4 linked regions of the Oryzias latipes genome follow. The protein of the gene in region 1 interacts with the protein of each later gene in a biochemical or structural test. Links are inferred from orthologs where the notes say so. Each region holds a gene or a part of one and is shown in the gene's direction. Other genes may lie near its edges.

Region 1 (5,276 bases):
AAATGACATGGTAATCTCTCCACAAGATGAGAAAGAAAAGGAAAGTTATCTGCCAACTGAGATGGAAATCCCAAGCCCCTTGCAAGATGAAAAAGAAGTTCAAAGTCCTCCACAGGATGAGAAGGAAACTCCAAGTCCTCCGCAGGATGAGAAGGAAACTCCAAGTCCTCAGCAGGATGAGAAAGAAACTCCAAGTCCTCCGCAGGATGAGAAGGAATCTCCAAGTCCTCCGCAGGATGAGAAGGAATCTCCAAGTCCTCCGCAGGATGAGAGGGAAATTCCAAGTCCTCTACAGGATGAGAAAAAATTTCCATGTCCTCCGCAGGGTGAGAAGGAAATTTCAAGTCCTCCACAGGATGAAAAGGAAATTCCCAGTCCTCAGGATGAAAAGGAAATTCCAAGTCCTCCTCAGGATGAAAAGGAAATTCCAAGTCCTACTCAGGATGAAAAGGTAATTCCAAGTCCTCCTCAGGATGAGAAGGAAATTCCAAGTCCTCAGCAGGATGAGAAGGAAATTCCAAGTCCTCAGCAGGATGAGAAGGAAATTCCAAGTCCTCCACAAGATGAGAAGGAAATTCCAAGTCCTCAGCAGGATGAGAAGGAAATTCCAAGTCCTCAGCAGGATGAGAAGGAAATTCCAAGTCCTCAGCAGGATGAGAAAGACAGTGGAAATTCAAAGCCAAATGAGAGAGAAAGCCAAAGCCCTCTGCAAGACGAGGAAGAAATTGAGGAAAGCTCTCTCCAAGATGTCACAGAAAACGCTGGAGAAAAGGAGAGCGCTCTGCAAAATGGGGAAGAAAATGAAAGTTCACTGCAAGATGAGAAACCAAATTGGATCTCAATTCAAGGTGAGAAAAAAATTGCGAGACATGACGATGACAATGAAAGTTCTTTGCAAGGAAATAAAGAAAATGCTGGTGTGAGCCGCTTGTGTTCAACATAAAGCTGTTAGTTTTAGTGGAGTTTACATTTAAAACAAGAACTCCAATGACACCATAAAAACAAAATTGAAACTCTTACCTTTCTGAACGCATTCATTTAAGGGACTATGCTACATAATACCGTATTTCATGAAACATCATGTTAGTCGTTTTGTATATACTTATGTCATTGTTAGTTTCTTTGCATTTTGTATTTACTGGGTTTTGTCACATCTTTGTAATATTTTACTTGTTTACTTTTTTCCACTCAGCTAAGATGAATTTTGGTTATTCACTTTTAGAAAATGTAAAATATGTTAAAAGTGTATGTAAATGATTATATGATGTGTTATTAAAAGTTTTTTTGTTGTACCCTGTCTCTACCAAAGTATAATTTCCTAATTTAAGTTTTTAATTAAGAATCTTTATTCAGGAAAATCTAGTTTAAACAAAATTTGACTAGCTTTTATCAAGTAGGTAAGGACAATTCTTAACACTTAAGCTCAGCTTAATGATTGTGTTGGGTAATAAGGCAGTAGTGATCAGTTTTTACATTTTTCTTATAATCTTGGAATTTTATGGTATGCGTTCCTACAAGGATGAATTGGCTCCATGAACTGAACTTCGGCGTTAAGCTATGCTTACGTAGTTTTATGTTGGATAAATTTAAAAATCCCACTCCGATCATCTTTAGTGATATTTCCAAAGCATTCCCAGTAATTATGATAATGTTTTTTTTTTAATACACTAAAATAAAATTGAAAAAAATCTGCTTTTTGGGACAGTTTCTGCACGGTGGCAGTAGTTCATTAAAATTTTGCCTCAGGAAGTCGGCAGGAGCATTTGCAAGTTACAACCCCACCTTCCCTCCCAGGGAAAATAGTTTTTGGGCTGCCCAGCGTATTTTCTACGTCACAAGAAAAGTTCTTTTCACCTGACTCACAGCGATTTGCATAAAGATATTGCCGGGAATGTAATTTTATACTTAAATGTCTTCATATATGCTCTCCATAATCAGAAAAACGCTACAAGAACACGTTAAAAATAAGATTTTGCTCACATGTTTGTTCCCGTTTACAACTGTCACTCGACACTGAATGAAGAAAATAGGAGCAACCAGGTCGGAAATCCAGATTTGATGATTGGTGGAAAGCAGAAGAGGGCGGGACTTGTGTCTAATTCAGTTATTCGATTGGCTCTCTTCCAGTGTACGTCACTTTAGTGTCAAAGTAAGAGACTGTTACAAAAAATATATGTATTTCTGGGCTCTTGTTTAAATATTACCTGATCAGAATGCTCAGTCAACACAAAATAAATCCTAAAACTGCTGTAAGTATGATTTATTAAAGCAAAAACAACAACAAACAAACACTATAGCTGTGCTTTCGACGCGCTTACGCCGTTGTTGTGTTTCCTTAGCAGGTAGTTTAGCACGCGAGGCTAACAGGCTTGTATATAAAAATAAGGGTTAAAAAGTTGACACGTAGAGACATTTGTTTGATACTATACGCGTCGTAAGATTAATCTATTTAGCTAAGGTTGAAATGTGAATTGTTAGGTAAAGCGGGTGACTTCTTGCTATCATAGTTTTCGTTTCATTTTTGCTCTAACGTTTTGCAGACTAGCTAACCCTGGCTGTTAAGTTTGTTCCGATTGTTTAAACATTTATTTAGTAGTGCGAAAGTGAAAGCATATAATTAAGTTTAGCCATCAAAGTCAAATATGTTTTAGATTAGATAAAACTTTATTTAGCTTAATCATCTCACAATGGGGAAATTCTCTAAAGACCTGATGATTTTAACTGATGATTCATCAGTTTAAACTGATGATTCTCTAAAAACCTGTTCTAAACCTGATGCATAAGCTGCATAGAAGGATAAAGTCACTTTGCCTGCTGTGTGCTTGCAGGTTGCATAAAGAATCTCTGACGTGACAGATGACTAAGTGGAAGAAATCATGGCATCTGAGTAGGTTGGCTTCACACTGGAGGTTCAAGCTCACACAATGTCCCACTGTAACAGAGAGCTGGTCCGGTTCTATTTAGCCTATAAGATGTCATGCAGGGACTATCCTGTGTCCCTGCTGAAGCCCACAGACGATGGGGGAGAAACTGAAGAGGACCACTCCGATGCCCGGAATCGCAGGCTGGTCAGCAGTGAGGACGGCCGGCTGAGGAGGTCCTGTCCCTGTTGTGCTAGCATGGACGCCATCAAATCAACTCTCAAAGATTCGGCCGATGAGTTTGAACGTCGTTTCCATCAAGGTTTTAGTGATCTCTCCGTGCAGCTTCATATCACTCCAGACACGGCCTACCAAAACTTCAAAAGGGTGTTGGATGAGCTGTTCAAGGATGGGATCAACTGGGGGCGCGTTGTGGGTTTGTTTGTCTTTGGTGGTGCGCTGTGTGTCGAGTGTGTCGAGAGGAATATGGGTGAGCTGGTCTCCCGCATTGCTGAATGGATGACCCAGTACCTGGATGAGCAAATAAGTCCATGGATCCACAGTCATGGAGGATGGGTGAGTCTCTTCCTGACATAGTCATGATTTTTTAATGTTGGTCCAGGATCAAGTGGACGGTGTCTGTAAGTTTATGTTTTCATTGTTGAGTCCATATCTTCAGTTTTCTTGACATTCAAAGTTCTGTTTTATCCTGTTTGTTTTTTTGACAGAGTTAGTTAATTGCTGCATCTCTATAGTCATCTTTCATTCTGATCCTTTATATAACTTTAAAACTTTTAAAAAAAAGCAACATTTACTTATTGGAACTGTGGAGCTGTAAAAGAATTTCCTAAGTCCTGATTCTCCAGAAGCCACTTTAAGTCAAAAGTTAAGCATTTTGGCAGAAACCCAGTTTTCTGTTTTTTTATAGTTTCAAATCTGATTTACGTTCAGCAGAAAACATTCTTCCATCTATTTTTTTTGAAGAGGAAAAACCAACATCTTAGACATTTACATGGAGATTGTTTTTTTTTTTTTTTTTTAAAGTGAAGTGGATGGTGTTTGAAAACTCCCTGTCAAGTCTGTTTAAAGGGCCTATATTACGCTTTGTCGAAGCATTTTAGAGTAAACTATTTTCATATATAGGATCATATATTACCTTTGGCACACAAAATAAGAATTTCTTATTATTTTCAAGTTATTTTCTACCTGGAAGTGAGACGACTCATTTTTTGTGTGAGAAATTAACATTACAGTAACTTAAAAGCTCAAAAAGTTGAATTTGCTTGATATGAGCCCATTAAAGATTTACTAAGCATTTATAACATTTATGATAAAAACAAAGCTTAGACATCCTTTGGAAATAGCAGTGGAATTACAGTGATATAGTGATGGGATGATGATGCCTAAAGGAGTGTTAATTTCTCAACACTGTATTGACAAAGTGTTGATTCCTCTATAGTGACCCCTGCAGTAATTCTGAAACTGTTAAAGCCCCACTTGAATTAAAATGGGATCATGTCAACATGTTTTTGTAACATTTTTCTCATGATGGAGGATATATATATATATATATATTTTTTTAAACTGCAATTTTTGAGTATTTCTTTATTCAAAATGTTGTGAATCAGGAGAAGACAAAAAAAGCCTGTAGTTGTGACAGAAACTACAATCAGTAGGTCACAAGCTCCCTGCTCTGCTCCATTCTGATGCATCCGCTCGCCGTTTTTTTTAATCTTTTACTTTACACACAGAATAACAGTCTAAAAATGGATTCATTCATACATTTTAATAAGAAACAAAAGTTTTTGTAGTCTTTGTTTCAAAATGATTTCTCTTGGTAGGACTTCGTATGAAAGTGCAATAACCCTTGAATCCCTCATCTTCAACAGCAATGAGTGGTTGACAGTCTTTCGTGATCATCTTCACCGTGGCCTCATCCGTTGCTTGTTAGGAACTGCAAGTTAAAAAAAAATCTTTAGTTTAAAGCTTAATTTTTATTAATAATATTGCAAACACACACAAAGACTATTTTTGAACATGTCAAAGACTCCCATGAGGATTTTCATATTCTGTGCTGCCACATTGAGCTCTATAATGCCTCAGCATTGATGGATTGCTCTAGTTCAGTGTTTTTCAACCTTTTTTGAGCCACGGCACACTTTAACCTTGACAAAAATCCCGCGGCACACCAGCATCCCAAAAAAAAAAAAGAAGCAGAAACTCATAGTCTGTTTTGATTTACAGCCCCCCCCCCCCCCCCCCCCCCCCCCGGCAATCTGACGTGCATTTTTGTGATAATTGTGGCAGAAAAAGCAGGAAGTTGCAGATGTTTTTCTAAAAGATGTAATAAAAGTTAAGTTACATACAAGCTGTATGTTCGTTGTGTTTTCAAGACGCTGTCCCTTTAAGCCAATG
Region 2 (4,615 bases), on another chromosome or scaffold:
TATTCAACAAAAACCTTATTTTCACATCTCCCTTGGTAACTAGCCTGCATATAAGGTGCAACTAAGCTGTAAAAATGTTTGTTTAACAAAGCTTTTGTTTTGTGAGCTGCTGCTAGTTTTAGCATCTTGTAGAGAGAAACACTTCTCGCGCTAAACGGTCTGTTTCAGGTGTTGAAATGAATTTGTTGTACTCCCACTTTTAATAGCAACAGCCTTCAAATGCATTGTGCAGCATGCGTTTTGTGCTCAAAGTCTTAAGCCACAAAACCGAGACAGTTCCATATAAATGAAGAAACTGTGACTGTTTTGGGAACAAGCCTCTCTTTAGTTGTGCATCTGCGTGCAGCGAGAAGCGGGCATGCTGACCTTGCTCCGAGCAACGGAAGCCCTAGAAAGCAGAGTGCTGGGAAAATAAAATCCAGAATTTCCCAAGAACTAATCTTCTTAAATAACAAATTCGACTTTATCAATAAAAATCGATTTCTTGTCCAACCCCAATTGAGAAAAGTACTCAAACACAATTTTAAGCTCACTTTTCCTTAAATATTTTCCCCATCATGAGAAAAACATGTTTTGTAATTAGATGGATCTTTGAAGCAGTATCATATTGCCTCCCATTTTTATTTCTGCTTATGTTTAATATCCTGCCATCACAATAACCTGCAGCTGGTAGTTAAGTCATTTACTTTTTGTTGCTCTATCACCTTAGCTTCATAGAAAAGTGACCCTTAAAAGCTATTAAACTTTTTGTTGACATATGACAAAGTTTTTTCTATAGCAGTCGTTCTTTTCAATGTTAGTTTATTTTCTGTCAGCTTGAGTCTCTGCCTTTTTGCCCTTATTTGTACGCTTAAAGCCGGTGACCTAACAGTTTCTAATAGTGTTGTAGAATCTAGAGGCCTTCTTTTTAATCGTTTGATGGTTCCAGTTTTGCACGCTACTGCCTCCTTGTGGCTAGAGTTACACATTACCACCTGGAGTAGGTAACGGGTTCGTAGTTTTAACATACAGGATCGAAGCTGCTCCGGTTCTTTGTTGTTACTTTAAGATTTTTTACATGTTTTTTTTTTCATCGTTGATTAATTAAATTAATCATTTTTTCATCTTAAACTGGGATTTAGACATTTTTAGTTTGATTAGCTAAATTCTTGGGTTTAAAAAAAAAATTAATGTCCACCAAAACAAGAACATGTTTTAATTCTTTTTCCCTGTGCAGATGTTTTAATTGTTTGACAAAAGCTTAAACTTCTTGGGTTTTAGGCCCCTTGGATCACATTAACCCTTGTGCTGTTCTAGGCACTTTAACATTGGGAGTTGGGTCATCTAGACCCACTAGACAGTGCACTGAACCTTTTTTCTTCAATGATTTGTGATCTTCTCTGGTGTCCATGGATTACATGAAATCCTCTTCACCTTTATCCACCTTTGTCATGGTAGGAGGAACACGTCAATGTAAGGGTGGGGTCATCCAAGATAGCACGAGGGTTCAAAGGATTTGGTTCACTTAATACTTTCCACCAGCAGGTGGCAGAGTTCATACAAGTTTGCCCACCTTATCAGACTAACTTCACTGCTTTGCTAAAGGCTCATGTTTGTGACTTGTCCAGGTAACCCAGTGGGTCCCACAGGTTGCTGTGTGTGTCAGAAGAGCCAGGGACCCAGGACGCCGTGTTCTCAGTGTGATCGACTGGCGTGTTCATCCTGTGTCCGACAGTGCTCCAACTGCTGCAGCTTATGCTGCTCTGTCTGCACCATCTTAGAGTAAGTTGAAAACTTGAAACTAAACTCTGTTCACCCGTCTCTATACAAAAGCCCGTTAAACTTTGATTGAAAGCCTCTTTACAGTTATTGTGCCTCATTGTTGTAACAAATGTTCATTTTAATCAAAAATCTATTAAGTAAAAAGCAATTTGTTTCTGCAAGTCTGCCACTCCTAAATTACTGTCATATTGATATTCACCTGTTGACTCCTGCTGATTAAATGACAGCCAGAGTGTTTTTCAAAGCCTTAAAGAGCCACTAGATTATTCTTATCATGCGATCAAAAATTGGGCCCAATCATGTCGTTTCAGACTTGATCGGAATTGAATGTTGAATCCCGATCATAATCAGATATTCATTTTATCCTCATTATTATGATCAGTGCCATATATTGGAATCTTATTACAACAGATATATTTTCTGCGCTTGGCCCATGTTCACAATGTTTTCTAGTGCATGTCTGCCCCCTTCATTGAAAGAGGCTTGGTGTGAAATGTCAATGGTGCAAATCTGGTGAATCTTGCTCCAGGCTTTTTCCTTCACAGCTCTGTTCCGATACACGAAAGACCTGGTGTCATAGAATTCCTGCTTCCTTAAAACACAAATATTCATTTCTCTTCCATGGTCATTTTTCATACAGTCGGCCTCTTCTGTGAATGAAAAGGGACGCCAACGATACTTCACTTTTACATCTAAGGCCCTGATTGCTCAACGTTTGACCTGGTTTAACTTTCAACGCTCGTTCATTTGCTACACATGTTTTTTACATGGAGGCTAAAAACGGCCGTAGAAACTTGCACAGCGATGCGTGAACGCCAGGGTCATGAACTTCATTGGAACTGGCCGCTTGAACCTGAGTTGCAGAGTGTGGTGTGAACGTAGCTTTAAGATCATTGGATGTTGGTTGGAAAAGCTCGTGAATGTAAACGATCCTTCAGGTTTGGTTCAAAGACTTACAAATATGTTTCTGTCAATATAAGTAAACCCCTGATTGATTTGAAATGAAACCTAAAGAAGGTTGCTTTAACTTTAATGCATTTCCATTAAAAATGAACCAGGACAGTGTTTTTTCTTTTGGTTTTATCCTAAATAATGCATGTTGGAGATTCTATTTACTTATGGAGTTTAGTCATATTGGTTGACGTCAAATCCTTCGATCTGTCAAACCGTTGGTGCTCACTCACAGCTGCCACGACATGAAACATGCAGTAAAAACCAAAATCAGCAATAACTAATAATTAACTCATAATTACTCAAATGAACACAGTTTTCCATTTTTATTAAGAATAAATAGAATTTCTTTAAACAACTGGTCCTCCCATCCTATTTTAAGATTTAGGTATCTTGATCAATCTTCCTGTCTTCCCTTAAGGGTATTGTTTTATTTCTGTTTTTTTCCATAATTTTCTTTTGACTACAACATTTCTTGAATCCAAACTAAAGAGGATGAAGCTTCACACAGGAGGAAGCATACTTTAGAAGCTGAAAGTGGGACTCTTCGCTTTCAGTCAACTGTAGTTAAAGTTTTTTGTTGTTTTTATACATTCCTAATCATAAATCACATTGAATTAATGAAGAGGCTGTTTGAATCATAACGTGAGGAATCTTTCATGTGTTGCAGTTACAGCGGGCGGTACGATGAAGTACTCTGCTGCGGCTGCTCTACGTAAAGGAAGACCAAAGGCTGGAACACAAATGTATATTTAAACACTGTAATTGCATTAATTGATATTTTATACCCTTTTTTTCTTAATTCATGTTTATGTAAATATTGTCATTTGAAGGTTTGATTGAATAAACTTGAACCCTTTTTAGAAACGTTTTTGTGATTGTGGTTTTGTATTGTCTATTTTACCTTTTAATAGACACACAAATATAGAAAAAGGAGCTCAACATGGAGCTAGAAGGTTTGGGATGACTGCACAGCGGCAGGAGGTCGCGCCCTCCATACTCGGTGGAGGAATAAACCACCCAAACTTAGAAAGTATTCCTAATCCACTCCTTGAATGTACCAAAGAACAACATCTGACTCCTTGTATTCTGACTGACACTGATAATCAAATTGCAGCTTGTCCACACTGACCTTGTACATCTACTATCAAATGTATTTCAAATAAAACAAGTGCTGAGCGGTAAAGCAGGCTGCAGTCATCCCTGCTGGACGTGACCTTTGGGTGGAGTCATCTCTTTCAGTTGGCTGCTGCTCATCGCAGACGACGATCCGTTTCAGGGTCAGATGCTGAACGCTCTGAGTAATAGTTCTTCATGGCAAAGGTCCACAACGGGACTTTAGAAAAGTCTCGTCTTGTGACACTGTTATGGATACGGGCTGGGATGAGTGAGTGCATGTGAGCTTTTTAGTCACATCGGCTGCTCAGCGGCCCAGTTGTGGCCCCCGTCTTTTGGGAGCTCTTGCAGTTGGTGGCCCAGGGCACCGCTTGATTTCTGCTTGAGTGAGCAGACAGCTGCTGGCAAAGGGTGGCGTCAGGTTGTCTGCACATTACCCGATAAGACTCATGAATACGGAATACTTGAAAGAAAAACATTTATTGTTGAAGTCTGAACAGTTGATGTCATGGCCGCAAGAAACGCCGCGACTGATGCTGATCAGATGGAAGAAATCACAGTTCCTGCAACTTCTCATTTAGTCTTCGACCAAGCGCCCGTCTCTTCTCCTTACAGAGCTTTGAAGAAAACAGAGTTGTCAGGCTTTTCCGTGCATATTTATCCATGCAACTTAAAGGTCATGTTGTACTTTTCTTGCCAAGAATGCTCCTCAACTCCCCCTTGCTACATGTGTGTCTGTAGGGGGGTGGGGGGTGCAGATAATCACCCACGGCGCTCCAGACAGCAC
Region 3 (4,720 bases), on another chromosome or scaffold:
CAGTCTGCAGTGGACCCTGATAAAAACCCATCAGGCTTGTGTCAGAGTGACGACACAGAGAATCTGGCTTTCCCGTCCGGAGCTAAATTTGGAAGCCAGGACTCATTTTTGACAGCTGGCAGCATGAGCCACGAGTAATATGTGACGGGCTCGCACCCACCTTTTGTTTTCCCTCCCCTTTTCTGTCTTTGACTATTTATCTGAGTATCACTTAAGCTGACAGAGCTGAGTGTAAAAGCTCAAAGGTACAATTTGTTTCTGTCTGTAAAGACAAATGACCTCTCAAATAGATGGTAAAGAAACTCCACTTTCCGTTCTGCAGTCTCTTAGAAAAAACATTGAAACTTGTCGTCATCAAACGTCTCAAACTGATGGAGATATTAGTTTACCTGTGACTTCCTCTTTTGACAACAACATTGTTCAGTCTTTGTTGTGTCTTGGAGTTTATGGCGCTGCATCACTTTCTTTGCACTTTTCTTTCAATATAGCCAAAGTTTGCCCCAAACATCGCGTGCCACAGAGAACCTCATGGAAGCCGTTTCCATAATTCTTTTCTTCACAAGTGGCAAGTGCGATAAAGTCATGCTGTCGGGAAACTGTCAGTGCTTATGCAACACCACGCAATGTTAGCCATTAAACTGATAAGAGTCAGCAATATAAACCCGCCAGCGTACCACTGTTCCTGGCTACTAACTAGAACAAGGTTAGGTTACCACGCTGAGACAAGTGAACATCTAACCTTGCCTACAGTTATTTTGTCTCACAAATAAGAATAAATAGCTTTCAAGAAGGTCATAAAAACTCCTCGTCTTCACTTGACTGCTCTGATGGGTTGAAAATAGCTGCACTCTTTATCAGACGTGGTTGGAGTCTGCCTTTTGTCGTCAGATGAGCTGTTAGACTACTGTAGCTCTCTCATGCAGATACAGGTTTTCCACAGACTGCCTGCCTCTCATCACCCCCCCCCCCCTCCTTAATCCCATTTGGTGCAATTATCTTATCTCAGGTCTCAATGGCCGAGATAGCATTATCCCTCTAATCGCACACAATCCAATTGGCTCGCAAAGCTTTGGGAGTCTCCTCCTCAGCTGCTGGCTTCTGCCAGAAAAAAAAAAAAAAAGCTGCAACTGCTTGATGACTGTTTTTTATGACTTGGAGTTTCTGTTGGGAAGATCAGCAGTGTGTGGAGGGATCCTGAAGCTTCTCTAATAAGCAAAGTCAGGACAAAAAGCTGTACAGTTTGAGCAAGGAAAATGAAGATATACATCTAGTCGTCAATAGTGAGCGCATCAGAACCATAAATATATACATATACAGTTCTTTCAGTCAGGTAAATACATGAATGCCAGTTCAAATAAAATCAAGTTAGAGATAAATAAAATACAGTAAAAATTATTTGCAATATAATAACCGAAAAATACATTTGGGTTGAAATAAAAGTAACGTAAATCGAGCGTGTCTTTAATTTTTTCTCTCTGTTGTCCTTTCAGTATCATCGAAACCAAAGGAACCAGGGGCCGGTGTGGTGGCGCCTCGCCACGGCTCTCGTCAGCCTTCTATTCGATAGAGGCTTTATTGCTGGAGCAGGGGGTGCAGGACAAAGGTAAGGGGGATCCGCCCCCTTATGTCCAATGCCTTCATCTCTGTTAGGAACTGGCCTCCTGTAGGCACTGTCAAATGTAACACGGGTCTGTTTGAGGGAGAAAAAAAGAGGAGACAATAAAGGTCGCCGCGGGACGGAGACATCCAACTTTCTTTTTTTTTTTTTTTTACAAGGTCACGTGCGTTTCTTGCAAGAAGATGCCATAATCCTCCCAAGATTCCTCTAAAGGACAATGTTAATATTTTGTCATACATGTGGTGTGCTGGTTTTGTACAGTTTAATGTTCAATTTTGCACTCTTAACATAGACCCACGATAAATGACCTCTGCAGACCCTGGGGATGCCTTATTCAGTGTTTTCTATAAGAAGGAAAAATTGAGTATTTTTTAAAACAAGCAAAGGTTTCATGAAAAGAAAATGAAAGAGTTTGTGCTTTTTTTTTTTAATATTTTTGTCCAGAAGTCTCTCAGTTGGATCAGTTTAATGGATTTACTAGCTCCCAAAGACGCAGCGTCTCAGAACATTGCATTTTGCACCCCACCTCAGCGGTGTTCTTTTTTTCCCCTCATCTTTTTGATCATTAACTTACCTTTTATTACGCCTTCATGATTTTTTTTTATAATAAATTGACTTTCCTGATTAATTTTAGACAAAACAACTGAAATGACCTGCAGTTTATGCACATGAAAGAGTTGTCCCACTGTAAAATAATTTTAGGCATCTACTATAAGCTGCATGCAAAAATCAAAAAAGACCTTGTCAGAACCTTTCTTTGCAGGCAAACCCATCAGTAACCATCGGCAAACTTTATAAAAACACACAAAGAAAGAAAAACCTTTAAAACCACTCAGCGGCAACAATTTCAGTGGATTCAAATTGTATATTTGGTAAAAAAAAATGCTTAACTACTTGATTAAAACCTCAATTTCTGTCACTTTGATTTTAATCCTATGTTACTGTTTTCCTTTAAAGTAACATTAGGACCCCGTTATGTCTTAATGCTCACAAATATAAGCAGATATGCATTTGTCTAGATAATTTTACTGACAGACGATTCATAGTGTCGTAGTTGTAGCACACTAAAGGCATAATGATAAAAACAAATGGGTGCTTTTGCACTAAATTCGAACAAAAGATTAAAGCACACTGTTAAAAGGAGCAATCCTCCCCAAAATGATCCGGTTTTGCCAACTCTATTGTTTTTATTTAGATTCTGTTTTTTTACTTTGAATTCTTATTTCTAGTTTGATAATTTTTTGCCCCTCAGTGTCTAACAAATAGTTTAGTTTTAGCTGCGTCATCGTATGTGATTGCTTTCAGACCTCCATGCCCTTTGAAGTGGAGCTGTGGATCCACTGTTTTTGCACTAGACTTCCACCTTTGAAGAGTTCCGATTGTTACCAAGTCAGCTTCTGTCTTGCATGAAGGTTTTCATTAGCGCAACATTTCAGATGTACTTGCATGCACGTTTAAGGCGGCAACCGATCAGTGTTGAGGCCTGACTGAGCACAGTCCGGAGTCTAAAGTGGATGTCGGTTTTCTCCATTTATCTCTCCCGTTTCAGGCTCAAGTTGAGTTGGAGCTTCCTGCAAAGCAATCTTTGCTTTTCCTCTTTTCTGAAAAAAAATCCAAACTAAATGAAAGAATGACTGAGGAAAAAAACCTCATCCCACTCAGGACATCTTTGCCGGGTTTACTTCATCATATGATGTTGTTGGTGCTGATTTTCAGATTAGGATCTATAATGCGAGCACAACCAACAATGGGTCAGTAGACAGTTTCTGAAATGAAAAAGTGAAAGAAAAAAGACTGTCATTTTTCTATGAATATGTTTCAAAACACTGTTAAAAATGCTGTTCTTTTTTGTTTTTTTCTTGCCTAACCTCGGCCATGGTTTGAATCTAAGGAGCAGCACATGTCAGGGGTCTGTGCTGTAACTAGTCCCTTCTTACATGTGTCAAGTTTATGACTGCACCATTCTTTTTTGTTTTTCTCAAGACGTCTCAGGGACAGATTTTGTTGGCTACTGGAAACCTTGAGAATTAGTTACACAGTTACAGGAATAGTAATGTCATGCTACCTAATAGCAACCAAAAGTGATATAAAGTCATTATCATTTACAAATTCCGCCCCTCAGGCAATCTGTCGTGAGTGACTGAGGATTCTGATTTGCTGGCTGTGGCGGTGACGGGGGCCTTCTGAGTATGAGGCGTATGAGGTGCACTGAAAGCGGTTGTGGTTATAGTTTCCTGCGGATCCTGAACGCTGAGCCAGTCTCTGTAGTGCCTCGTCCCTCCACCCCCAACCTCCTGAATGGCGCCTGACCTCTTTGTGCTGCTCCTTCATCACGTGTATTTTCTTTGTAATTTATTTTTTTTTCTTTTATTTATTTTTACTTTTTAGAAATATTTACCCATCTCTACTGTATACGTGTGTGTGTGTGCAATCACTGCTTATTCTCTTCTTCCTGTTTTGGACTCAAACTTTGACCCTGTGCAGCATGTTTGTCATCACTGCGCCTCGTGTCACTTCCTGTGATACTCTTATTTTGGCATCACTCCTCTTCCATTGGGCACAGAAAAAAAACAGTGGGGGAAAAAACCTGCAAGTGTCAGTGACTGCTAACTATTAGTAATAAAACCTAAAACATAAAGAAAGAAAACTTTAGGAGGCATATTTTCACAATAAAAGGTTGCAATTTTCCATATAAACCATTCCAACAAATTTAGAGCCGTTTTATTATCCCCCACCACACTGTATGTGGTTTCAGACGAGCAGTAGTTTCAACAGGGCTCAGTCTGTCAACACATCATGACTAATCCCTTACACTCAATGAGTCATTTCCCATCCCATAATGAGAGTCGGGATGGGAAAAAGTATAAAGTGCGCCCGCTAAGGTTGCCATCACTTGCCACAAGTCACAGGATGTCAGTATGGTTGTCGGTCCTTTTGTTAAATGGTTGTGTTGTAATCAAATGCACTGGAAAGTACTTTGTTTCTTTAAAACTTTTAGGTCTCTTTCCTGTTGTGCGTTAATGTATAGTATATACTCTGGATCGTTCTTTTGGGCTCATCTGGCCGCATGTCAGTCGTATATCTGTGCATTTAGCATGTAGG
Region 4 (4,720 bases), on another chromosome or scaffold:
CGGTAAATGACTGTCATAAATGAGCCACAAATTCAATTCAGTTTATGGAACTGATGTAGAAAGAACTGAAAAAGGTTGTGGAGTATATTTTAAGCATGTTGACTCATACATTAATAGTACTCTATCTTTAAAGTGAAGTTTTAACTATGCATGAAACTTTCTCACTCTCTGTTGTTGCTTCTATACGAGTCCTACACATTTTCTTCGCCATCTAACTTTTACGTTTCCTGTTTGGCTTTTTGCCATGCACGAAGGTGCCAGTGAGGTATTTTTATACCCAGGTGATGGGATTTACTATATGTGAGTGTGATTGGCAGACTGGGCCAGTCTCAGGGGGCAGAAGGGAAGGACAAGGTAGAGTGTTCGTGCAGCACCCCTCTGGCAAAGCCGGGTTTATTTCCCCGCTGAAGTGGTTATGTAAGGTGAGACGGAGGTTAATGCAGGCTTTGCATCGGTGAAAGTCCACCTGAGTGTGGTGCGTTGCCACGAATGTCACAGTCCTAGACCGCCAAGATATTTTAGGGAACATCGAAAACACATTTCATTCGTTTATAGCATCTAGTGTTCCCCACAGGGAAAAATGCCTTTTCCTTCTCACTGTTCAACATATTTCTATGTCTCCTCAGAAATGATGGCACAGAGTTTGGTGGATCCATCTACCAGAAGGTGAACGAGCAGCTGGAGACAGCCGTCAACCTGTCCTGGACAGCTGGAAACAGCAACACTCGCTTTGGCATTGCTGCCAAGTATCAGATTGATCCAGACGCATCTTTTTCTGTGAGTAGCCTTTTCTATGGGGGTCTTCACAATGTTGTTGTCTTAGTTACACACTCTACTGCCTCTGCTGACCAACTTGGCATGGTATGTTAGGTCTTCAAGATAGGAATGCAGGGGAACTTCTGCCAAAAGGTTCAAAAGGAAGAGTCTGTCTGGAACAGACGGGCTTCAACTGAATTATCTCCAACTTGAGCCTCGGTTAAATCCCCCTCAGAGCTAATTACTCTGATTGGTTGTTTATAATCTGAACCTGTTTACCCAAAAGTCTTGTAACTGAGTATGTCTGAATTCCTTCACTACTCACTACATAGTGCTCTATTTGGTTGTTCACCATTTTGTGGTGCTTTTACGAATCTACAGTTCCAAAATCGAGTGCCCTAGAAAGTCTCTGCGGAAAACCAGTGTGAATCGATGCTAACTAGATTTGCAAATATACAGACCACAATGCATTGCATATAAACAATTGTTGCACAAAAAAAATTGTATTTAAATGTATTTTTTAATAACGTTTTCATCTTCCCTCTCCACGGACAAATGTAAAGTCTGGGCATCTTTGCTTAGACCAGGGGTGTCAAACATATACTAGATGGTTCAATCTGGCCCAGTCATGAAAAGTAAAAGAATTTAGGATGTTTTAAAAACAAAAACAAAAAAATTCTTAAAATTCTAGTCCATTCCTTTGCCCATTTATGATTTTTTAAAGAAATAACCGAAGTGCGCAATTCCGCCACTAGGGGGAGAAAAGCAAAAGCAAAGCAGGTGAAACAGCATTTCTCAAAAGTGAATCCTAACAACTTTGGGTGTGGGTAAGATGTATTTTGGTTCTCTTAGATTCTCACCGCTGTTACATTGCTATGAGAATGATCAGTAGTGACACAATAATGACCAAAATGTTGTCAAAAAGAAAGAAAGGTTGAAGTGGAGTGCTGAGCTTTCCAGGAATTATTTGTTCATGGAGCCGAATGCAAAACCTGCCTGCTTGTTACGTCATCAACAGGTCACAGGGCTCAAAGAATACAACATTCAGCACATATGAGACTCACCATAAAGAAAATTTTCACCATTTGCAGTTAAGAAAAGAGAAGATTTACCAACTATTAGCTGGACTGAAGACCAACCGTCTGCATTTACTGCAGCGTGACGTCAGTGATGGAGCAGTGACAGACACCTGATTGCAGACAAGTTGGAGCAAACATCCAAACCATTTTCAGATAGTGAACTTATAGAAAAATGCTGGAGGCTGCAGAAGTCTTGTTCCCTAAAAGCTATTGACCTTTTGGCCTCTGTGAATGAATGTGTATTAATAAATAATAGACTACCATGTTGGTTGAGGCATTTTTTCCAAATGACAAAAAAAAACAAAACTGTTATTTTGCTTTTATGTTGCTGGTCTGGCCCACTTGAGATCAGAGAGGTTGAATGTGGCCCCCGAACCAAAATGAGTTTGACACCCCTGGCTTAGACAGCTGCCCCCGTGACCCGGTCCTGGATGAGCAGAAGAAGATGGATGGATGGATTTTTGTTTTTTTTGTTTTTTTTTTATTCTGAAAAGTTTGAGCAGAAAGTCAGTAGAGGAAGAGGGAAAAATGTTTAGTTTTTTTATCTCTGTTTGACCCACTTAACTTTAAACCTACTTGACTTGTAAGTAAAATGTATTCAATTGTTCATGAATGCAGTCATCCATCTTCTACACCTCCTACCTCCTGTTTTGGGTCATGGGGATGCTGGAGCCTATCCCTATTACTTTATTTACAGTTGTGTTGCACCCTGGACAGTTTGCCAGTCCATAGTCCACAAAGAGTCAAACAACTACACACTCGCATTCACAGCTAAGCACCAATTAACATACAAAGAATGCTTTTGAACTGTGGGAGGAAGCCATTAAGCCAGAAACACTCCCCCCCCACGAGGAGAACATGCTAACTTCACATAGAAAGGACCCAGTTGGGATTCAAACCAGGACTCTCTGGCTGTGAGACTGAAGTGTCTATAAAAGCCCGTTCAGCCGCTCTAACGTTGCTAAACTCTGTTCTTTCTCAGGCCAAGGTGAACAATTCCAGCCTCGTGGGTCTGGGCTACACTCAGACTCTGAAGCCAGGTGAGTGAAGCTACTTTCTAGTTTGGGAATTTTCTACCTGAATAGGAAAAATTAGGGCTGCACCATATGAGGAAAACTCGCGATATTGGTGATTAATATTGCGATGACGATATACCGTAATTTCCGGACTATAAGCCGCTACTTTTTTCCTGCGCTTACAGCCTTGCGGCTTATTCAGTGACGCGGCTAATTTATGGATTTAATTGGCGGCCGCCATGTACGTACTTTCGAACTCAGTGAATAGTTTGAATTCTAGCACAAGGCATTTATATTCAACACACCTCTTAGCAGCCAAACAGCATGGACTTGACTTCAGGTCTTAGACACTTCAGTCATGGTTCAACAAAACGAAACACGCATGCCCGGCCGCATCCCAGAATCCTTTGGGGCCATTAGACCCAACGTGCACGTGATCGCCGCTACATTATGATGAAGCTTTCAAGTTAAAAGCAATCGTTAAAAGCAGCGTAAAAAAGTCCACCGTCACCAACGGGTTTGGAAAAGCCGGTTTGCTGCATGACGGAGAGAACAGCGCATGGAGTGAATTTACACTCCATTTACGGTTTCTAAGGAAACCGTAAAAGCGGAATTTTGCTTTGAAAAACTCTCCTGCTGATTGAGCTGCGGGGCCGATGGCAGTCTGATGGCTCCCACACGTAACAACGCATCCGCCCCTCATACACAAAACGTACAGTATTAAGTCCGATTGCTTTGCACAGAAACTATTTGCTCCTTACACCGGCGCAACGGGGACGAAGTGCTCCTCCTTGAAGCCGCCCTGGCCAGAGGTGTCGGAGTAGATAGGAAGGGGAGACAAGGAGCGCGCGGGGCGGGAGCGGAGCGCAGAGGCTTCTGAATTCTGACGCACGCGCCGCACTGAGGCGCGCGTATCGCGCTGAGGCGCGCGCTTTTCAGTCGTCGCTGCTTTATTTTACTAGTGTGTTTTTTAACCAGTCCTGTTACTCCCATAACGCTGCGCGACACAAGCGGAAGGAGAGCTGTACCCGTTCACCCCTCCATGCACTGCTGATACTCATTCTTAAACACGTACAACAGTATGGCGAGCCGGGCATTGGCCCCGCCTTTAGCCCCTAAGACTCATGGGAAATGTGGAATCGCGGATGTAAATTTCCTCATCATAACTGAGGGATGTAATGTTGATTATATGGTTACTGTTTGTAATTTTATGTATGATATCTAGATTGTCAATAAGTTAAAAAAAAATGAAATAAAAACACCATAACTGAGGAACTTGTGAACAGAATAGAGGTCCATGCTGTATGACAGATGTCGATACACTCAAATACATGAGCCAGAGGCAAAACTGGCACCACCCACAATGTGCTAATGAATCACACTCACTCTGGGATGCTGGCCTTGATCTGTCAGGATGACAATATCGCCTAACACATGTGCGGCTTGTACTCTGACACGGCTTGTGTATGTATAAAAGCAGTCAAACACGTGAAAATGGGTGGGTGCGGCTTGTAATTGGGTGCGCTTTGTAGTCCGGAATTTACGGTAATTTGTGGTACATAAACAAATGGCAAAACAACCAAAAACATCATTTCCATTTCACTGCAACGGTTTAAAATTATACTCCCTCTGACCCTTGTTGACGTAGGAGGCAAACATCAAACATAAAAGGGCTCATCTGATTGATCAACAACGTAAACGGGTCCTTCTGATTGGTTAAATGCATAAAGGGATTTATTTCATTTGTTCAATATTTCAAGCTGCCATGAGTATGTTTTAGCACATTTAAGGTAACCGTTTATTGCAATTTTCGCCGTCTTTTGCGGTATGCATTTTGCACAGCTTGATGTCGCGATAACGATAAATTTG

What was found.
Region 2: the proteins of bcl-2-like protein 1 (region 1) and siva1 form a complex in vitro, tested with the Homo sapiens proteins (2 studies listed by BioGRID and IntAct). The link is inferred for Oryzias latipes from reciprocal best matches to the Homo sapiens genes BCL2L1 and SIVA1.
Region 3: the proteins of bcl-2-like protein 1 (region 1) and bmf interact in a test that uses a peptide from one of them, tested with the Homo sapiens proteins (2 studies listed by BioGRID). The link is inferred for Oryzias latipes from reciprocal best matches to the Homo sapiens genes BCL2L1 and BMF.
Region 4: the proteins of bcl-2-like protein 1 (region 1) and vdac1 form a complex in vitro, tested with the Homo sapiens proteins (4 studies listed by BioGRID). The link is inferred for Oryzias latipes from reciprocal best matches to the Homo sapiens genes BCL2L1 and VDAC1.

The regions. Positions count from the first base shown.
Region 1 is NC_019863.2:26,338,640-26,343,915, forward strand, and holds the start of bcl-2-like protein 1, read left to right. Parts: upstream 1-2,017; 5' UTR 2,018-2,249; intron 2,250-2,828; 5' UTR 2,829-2,856; coding exon of another isoform or gene 2,857-2,887; 5' UTR 2,888-2,924; coding exon 2,925-3,437; intron 3,438-5,276. Other genes in the region: activity-dependent neuroprotector homeobox protein, read left to right, coding at 1-943. UniProt on the Homo sapiens protein: Potent inhibitor of cell death. Inhibits activation of caspases. Appears to regulate cell death by blocking the voltage-dependent anion channel (VDAC) by binding to it and preventing the release of the caspase activator, CYC1, from the mitochondrial membrane.
Region 2 is NC_019880.2:14,647,355-14,651,969, forward strand, and holds the end of siva1 (apoptosis regulatory protein Siva), read left to right. Parts: intron 1-1,607; coding exon 1,608-1,761; intron 1,762-3,382; coding exon 3,383-3,431; 3' UTR 3,432-3,583; downstream 3,584-4,615. UniProt on the Homo sapiens protein: Induces CD27-mediated apoptosis. Inhibits BCL2L1 isoform Bcl-x(L) anti-apoptotic activity. Inhibits activation of NF-kappa-B and promotes T-cell receptor-mediated apoptosis.
Region 3 is NC_019880.2:14,498,837-14,503,556, reverse strand, and holds part of bmf (bcl-2-modifying factor), read left to right. Parts: intron 1-1,490; coding exon 1,491-1,607; 3' UTR 1,608-4,720. UniProt on the Homo sapiens protein: May play a role in apoptosis. Isoform 1 seems to be the main initiator.
Region 4 is NC_019872.2:4,165,423-4,170,142, forward strand, and holds part of vdac1 (voltage-dependent anion-selective channel protein 1), read left to right. Parts: intron 1-626; coding exon 627-777; intron 778-2,817; coding exon 2,818-2,875; intron 2,876-4,720. UniProt on the Homo sapiens protein: Non-selective voltage-gated ion channel that mediates the transport of anions and cations through the mitochondrion outer membrane and plasma membrane.